Linked DNA regions of Arabidopsis thaliana. The protein of the gene in region 1 interacts with the protein of each later gene in a pairwise test. Each region holds a gene or a part of one and is shown on either strand. Other genes may lie near its edges.

What was found.
Region 2: the proteins of AT1G35430 (region 1) and ckl3 interact in a two-hybrid assay, tested with the Arabidopsis thaliana proteins (one large-scale study listed by BioGRID).

Annotation. Positions count from the first base shown.
Region 1 is NC_003070.9:13,029,845-13,033,191, forward strand, and holds AT1G35430 (uncharacterized protein), read right to left. Parts: upstream 1,532-3,347; 5' UTR 1,188-1,531; coding exon 816-1,187; 3' UTR 709-815; downstream 1-708. Other genes in the region: AT1G35435 (Putative membrane lipoprotein), read right to left, coding at 2,962-3,137, 3,331-3,347.
Region 2 is NC_003075.7:14,248,907-14,252,837, reverse strand, and holds the start of ckl3 (casein kinase I-like 3), read right to left. Parts: upstream 1,704-3,931; 5' UTR 1,488-1,703; coding exon 1,412-1,487; intron 1,316-1,411; coding exon 1,275-1,315; intron 1,073-1,274; coding exon 1,003-1,072; intron 914-1,002; coding exon 765-913; intron 662-764; coding exon 566-661; intron 489-565; coding exon 418-488; intron 308-417; coding exon 246-307; intron 171-245; coding exon 107-170; intron 1-106. Other genes in the region: AT4G28870 (mutator transposase MUDRA protein), read right to left, coding at 2,118-2,417; ckl4 (casein kinase I-like 4), read right to left, coding at 3,641-3,781. UniProt on the Arabidopsis thaliana protein: Protein kinase involved in blue light responses (e.g. hypocotyl elongation and flowering) by phosphorylating CRY2 to reduce its stability.

The DNA.
Region 1 (3,347 bases):
TGGCCAATTCCTTCTTGTTCTGATTTGAGGTTCTTACTTTTAATAATCCTTCTAAAAATAGATCAAAGTTTGGATTTTGGATGTGGGTAGAGATCAAAATAAGTAATTTCTCTAGCAGTCAAAAGAATGTGCGGAGATAAGATATGGACCACTTTCTACTCTTGTATTTCCTACACCGTATGATTTGTCTTGTGGGAACACACTCGGTTCACACAAAACAAAGGTGGCCCTTGATCTGACCCAACACAAGAACTCGTATCCAACATTTTTTTACCAAATTCTCTCAAAAAACAAAAATAAAAAGCATTATTGGAAAAATATACTCTTGACAATAATGGAAAGTAAAATAACCTGGCCCCTTAATTAATGGCGGAGATGATGATAAATTAAAATTGATGGTAATGAATTTCTTTTATCATTAGTAATGATTTTTTTTTTTAATCCAAAATTAATTAGAACTCTTAATTAGAGTTCATAAGAGTCATTCCTGAAAAATGTTGTTTACATAAGTGATATGATGCGGTTGGACACGAACTTTATGTGCCAAATTATCCGTTTTGACATTTGCACTATTCGTAATAATTTTTGATATATATAAATTATATAATTATGATGTGAATTTTTGTGTGTTTTTTTGTTGAAATATTTATTTTTTGGTGTATTTGTTGAAAAAAAAAAAAAAAAAACTGAATCAAGAGAAACGAAAATGGTAGAAAATTTTCAATTAATCGGATTTGAAAAGTATATAGTAAAACTGACATTTTTGTTTATCTACATAAAAAGATCAAAATCTAAAGGAATCGAAAAAAGGAAATTTACGAAAGAAGAGGAACTCTAATAATTTGATCGGAATCTTGATCTTGATCTTGATCTTCTTCACCACAATCATAAACAGATCTAACCAAAACCAACTGATCTTCCAAGTATCTCTGAAGCAAACCAGCTTCTTCCGGTTCATCAAACCCGCCGCAACCACATCCTTCTTCACATCTCCGGAGCCTCAAATCATCTTCCTCGGCGGTGGATTTAGCAAACCAAGGATGACGACTACGGAGACGACTAAAGATCTCGACGGCGCAGAGGATTGGGATTGAGGCACAGAGGATTGGGATTAGTAATGGAGAACAGAGGAGAAAGAAAACGAAACGGCTCCGTCGTGTACGAAGCCAAAAGACGTCGGTCAACATAATGGTGACGACGGCGCGTGAAGAGTCATGGCTGGAGTAAATGGGGAGGAGAGGAGGTCGTGGGTTGTACGACACGACTTTGGTAAATGAGTGGGATCATGGAGAAGCTTCTTTGGCACATGACTTTGTTCTTTTTATTTGACTTTTTTATATACTTGTGTTTGGTTTTTGTCATGTGACTGTTTTTTACTTATTTACAAAATTTGATAAATCTGTTTGTTATATGAGCAAGACCAGTTTGGAGGAAAGTTATTATGAAATACAAAGAGTCGGAAAGTACAAGAACATTTCTGAAGACAGATAAGCTAACGAGTACAAAAACATTCCTGGAGACAAGATTAAAGAAGGTAAACAAAGGAGAAAAAACTCGAGCAAACAAACTACATAATATCTATCAATATTTCCCGAATCGGAATTTAGAAACTCAAAAAATATTTACAAAACTAAAACTAAAATTTAAAACAAATCTGAGACATACAAAACACACAAACAAATTACAATACAAAAAATCTCTTTTACCATAAGTTAGAACTGAATGAAAGTAGTCACGTGCGACCTTCATTGTAAAACTCCGGAGAAGAGCCATGGAGACGGTGGGACACATCCAAAACCTAGAGATTCAAATATCGTTTCTTATCTAGTTTTGTGCTGATTAGACTTATCTATTTTGGAGAAAAAAAATGTTATAACCCGAATTGGATTTTCTCTTTGAGAAAGTGTTAATAGATCGTGTTTGGATCAACCGTTTGATTGCGGTTAACGATTGTAAAATGCGATTATCAATTTCAAACGGAAGTTGAGAAGCTTAATTGATTTTAGTGATTTAGGTGGAATTATATACATTGGGAGAAAAATGGAATAGGGCATAGGCTGAAAGTATGGGAAATCCTAGTGGAAAAGCTAAATTACAGGGGGCCTCCTACAGCCCAAAAACATTAATCGGTATAAGTTTGATCATCGATCCAAAAAGGAAATCATTTTTGGACTATTGACCAAAAACAATATTATTTTGGAATTAATTATAAATTTAGAAATTAAAAAGGAAGATTATGAAAACTATCATATCTTTGAGTTTTCATTTGAAAACTACATTTTCTTTGTGTTTAATAAAACTTAATTTTTAATATCTAAATGACAGTTTTGTCCATATTTAAAATAAAAGTTGTTTACTTAATAAATTAAAACAATATTTAGAAAGAAAAAAAATCGTAATCTTAATTATTTTTTCAACTATTTTTGAGATAAAAACAGTTTATTTATTTTCTATATTAAAATTTAATTAGATAATATCTAAAAATATTTTAAAGTCTCTCACTTAAGATATTTTCAAGTGTTTGAAACACAATTTTGAATTTTCAATAGACAGGATCTTAGATTATTTTTTAATTTATTTTTCTTTTGTTTTAGGACGAAATTTTGTTTAAATATTTAAAATAGGAACGGTTATCTTTAAAAATGTAAAATATATTAAATATTAATTTAAAATTTAAAATTTATGGAAATTTTCAGTTTTAAGTTTAAATTCATTTTAATTATTATGAAATATTAATGAGGCAATTTTAGTAATTTTATATACTTAAATTTAGTTTTTAAAAGAGGAAAAAGGATAGGGTATTATTCAAATGAAAACTCAAAAAATAGGGCATTTTTGTTACAAGAAAATATTATTTTCTGCAAACATTATATAAAATTCTGTATTGTTGACATATCTTAAAACAATGATTCATTTCTATATAAATAAAATATAAATATTCAACCAAAATCATAATTATTTTTAGTAATTTGTGGTACAACAACAAAAATATTCGTAATCATCATAATCGAACATGCATAAACCAAGAGTTTCATGTGAGAACTCAGGCGGTCCACATCGACTCCTACATTCGTAGCTATCTCGGCACCGACCTCTGTAAACACACTCGCTAGGTCCAACTTGCATTCTTTTCACTACTATTAATCGCCAAAACAAATCAATAATAATCATTAGTTACTATATTTTTTCCAAGAAATTATGTATTAAATATCGTCTACGAATTTGAAAAGAGAGACATGTATAGCAAAAGTTTAGGTGAAAAGAGAGAAAAATTTGACATAACAACAACAACAAAAACTGAGAGAGAAGAAAAATATAGAAAATATTTACTTTTTGATTGGCAAGAA
Region 2 (3,931 bases), on another chromosome or scaffold:
AATGAGGAACACAAAAAACAGTTAAGTAAATCTCTAAAAACAAGGAATAGAAATACCCTGCGAAATAACATAATGTTAACTAGTTTCTTTCAAAAAGACAACACACCTTCCTCTTAGGAAATACAGAAGCACATATCCCAGCGATTCTAGATCATCCCGTCGACTTTGCTCTGTGAAGAGAACCCAAAATATGAGCAAAAGCGATTTACTTTTACATAAGGATAAAGAATGCCAGCATTTCTTACCAATTCCAAGATGTGTATTGCAACTTGCATATCGTGCAGTTCCTGTTAAATTCTTGTTTTCCCTGAATATAGCCGAATAAAGGAAATAAGTTGTATAATGATTAACGTGACCGTAAAACTTAAAAACAGATAGATCATTTACAATCTGTATATTGAACCAAGGCCACAATACCTGTAAGGGATGTGGCGGTTGGTGTTGGCATCCCGATATCTTTTGGCAAGTCCAAAGTCAATTAGATAAACCTGAAAAATGAGACTTATCAATCATACCATACTCTACTTATGGCATCTGATGAAGATAAGAAGTTGCAGAAATATACCTGATTTGCTTTCCGACCTAGGCCCATGAGGAAGTTATCGGGTTTAATATCTCTATGCAGATATCCTTTCGAATGTACAAATTCTATTCTTGTTAGCTGTAACAGCGGGATAAGAAAATCGGAAGCACATTAGATAATCAATGTATAAGTCAACAGATATTATAAATAGCCTAATGAATAGTTGAAAGTCATGCCATACCATTTGATCAGCCAACATCAAGACTGTCTTTGGTGAGAATTTCCTCCCACAGTAGACGAAAAGATCTTCGAGACTTGGACCGAGCAAATCCATCACTAAAGCATTCTCTGTTCCATCAACTCCAAACCATTTTATGCGCGGAATTCCACCTGACACATAACATAAAAATTAGTATTGTACTGCTAATGAATCCCTCCAATGTCCAACAACTGAGAAAAGAGAGGAAAGAGAATCATACTTCCTCCTTCAAGAATTCTATATAGCTTAGCTTCATAGAGAAGTTGAGGATGCTTTGTTTTACTGTTCTCCTGCAAGAGAAAATGATTGAATTAAAAACAAGTGTTAGCTTGAAGAATATATTGCAGCTAAAAAGCACCGAGTTTAAAACCTTGCTCAATTTTAGAGTAAAGCAATTCAAACAAAATCAATTAAGAGACATAGCAGATCCAAATCAAATCTCCAGATTGGATGGATTCAATTCGTCTCAAGGCAAATTGAGCTGGGACTTACGATCTTAACAGCTACGATCTCGAAGGTATCGACGTGCGTAGCTGCGAAAACAACAAACAGAAGAGAAGAGCGTCAATTTCAAATAAAAAAGCAAACTCGGAAAACCAAAGGGACAAGAACAGAGGAGAACACAAAACCTAGAAAAATCTCTCCGAACGAACCACCGCCGATCTTCCGTCCGAGCTTGTACTTGCCGCCGATGATGCGTTCCATGGCAGCTCCAATCAGAACCGAATCTGGATCAAGCGCAAGGATAGAGATAAGGATTTAGGGTTGTTGTTTAGAAGATTGAAATTAGAGGAACTTAAAAACATATATTATTATTTTTGTTTGACTGACATCGGTGGTAGTGACATGGACCCAGGCTTGTTTGAGCCGTAGTAGTGATCCTTCAAAAAAAAATTTGTACACCTAACTACTGCACCATTTTGGGTCCGCCAATCTTTTTTTACCTTATAAACAAACACGAGGGTATTTACGTGATTTTGTAATGTCACGCTGGCACGGTGGATGATTTGATGATTTCCGTTTTTGGGGTCTGCAAAATGATGAAGGTTCGAAAATTTAATGGGTTGGCTGATTTTCGAGTCATAAACTATTTCGATTCTTAGTTTTCACTCCCGGATTTTTGGGCCCTTAAATTTCCACCATCAATTTTCATATTCCTCAAAATTACATCATCTACTTTCGAATTCATGATTAAACATACATTTTCAATTGAACCATTCATTTAACCGGGATTAACCACAAATCCGCGTTTACTGTACCGCGATTGTGATTAACCCGACTAATACCCAGACCCGTTAAGAAAACGACGTCGTTTTCATTCTTCTTCTTTAACTCTCAAATCGATTTGGTAGTCCTCTTCTTTTGACTTTCATCTCTGTCTCCATCGTCTTCTAGATTGACGTCTCCATCAGACGCTATGTCACCATCGTCTTCTCTATTTTCCTCTCCATCAGAAGCTCTGTCTCCATCTATCCCGACGTCCTCTCCCTCGATTCTGGTGGCTTCGTCCTCCTCGACTCCGCTATCACCACTATCACTTCCATCGTCGGCTTCAATGTCACTCTCTGGAGGTTCGAAATCGGGGTCATCTGGATCGCTTTGGTAAATCAATCTTTCCTCCCACCAATTCTTCATTTCTCCCTATTCGAAACCCAAATCGAGACCCAAAAATTCGAACCGAAGAAGAAAACCCCAAATCCCCTTTTGTCTTTCTCTCTCAAGAACCCTAATTTCACAGTGTCGAGATTAAAGAAGAACGACTAAATCGATTTGAGAGTTAAAGAAGAAGAATGAAAACGACGTCGTTTTCTTTCTCTTTTTGATGAGTTAAACGAAATGAAAACGACGTCGTTTTCTTAACGGGTCTGGGTATTAGTTGGGTTAATCGCAATCGCGGTACAGTAAACGCGGATTTGTGGTTAATCCCGGTTAAATGAATGGTTCAATTGGAAATGTATGTTTAAGCATGAATCCAAAAATAGATGATGTAATTTTGGGAATATGAAAGTTGATGGTGGAAATTTAAAGGCCCAAAAGTCCGGGTGTGAAAGCTGAGAATCGAAATAGTTTATGGCTCGAAAATCAGCCAACCCAAATTTAATCCACTAACTAGTTCTCTACCAAATCGATCAATTCTAGGTGTTTGTATTTCAATATTGAGACTACAATTTTATACGTTTTTTTTTTTTAATAATAGCAATTGAAAATGCATGTTTGGATCAAGTCAAGCTTTTTGATATAATTTTTTTCAATGCACAAAATCGAGTAAGAAAAATCAAACACAGAATACCATTAAACTGAATAGGAAATTCAGAGAAAAAAAAAGGGGGAAGTGTTTCTCGGAGCATTCCAGAAGCTAGCCATAGCTTATCCTTTTACGTTCTCGTCAGCTGCACATTAGCTTGATGGTGACATGTCCCTGCCACAAGCAACTCTTGACTCAAGCCTTTGAAGGCATCTCTGCTGAAGCTGCTCATGCTTTGCTCTTGATTTTCTGCAAACAATGTTGATGACACAGCAAACCCAGGTTATGCCCCAACACAGGGAACTACGTACAGAAATACGAACAAAGTTTTATAGAAGAAAACTTGGGAGAATGAATCACAAGAACCAAATTACACGCCCGGTTGCAAGATTTTATACAAAGGTTGAAGTCAGTCATTTGTGAGAATCTTGAAGGAAAGCAAACATAATCTTCATGCCTTTTGTCAAACAGTAAGCTGTTCATGGAAAAACTCCATTCAGATCTTCAACCTCAGTCTAGAGCTTTTCACTGCAGAAATCACAGTTTAGACCCAAAGGCACACATAATCTTGCTCAGCAGATCAGATGAATGATATACTCCAACTTTTTTTGCATCATTTCCCCGGTGACATGAATGGTGAAGTCCAACCGCCGGTTTTATTCCCGCTCCCAAACCCAGAATTTGAGGTTTCGGGTCTGACATTTCTTTTTGAGGTACCCGCAGGAGATAATGAAGTGGATGATGGCATGTTCATCTGCAATGGGTTTTCAGTAAAATAATGGTCAAGAGCATATTTCGTGATGATCAGTATCGTGTTTTAATCATTTATGCTATATGTAGTTCATATCACAATATAGAGCTCGTTGATGACAATTGACCATGCAAAACAGGTAAAAGCTTTAAG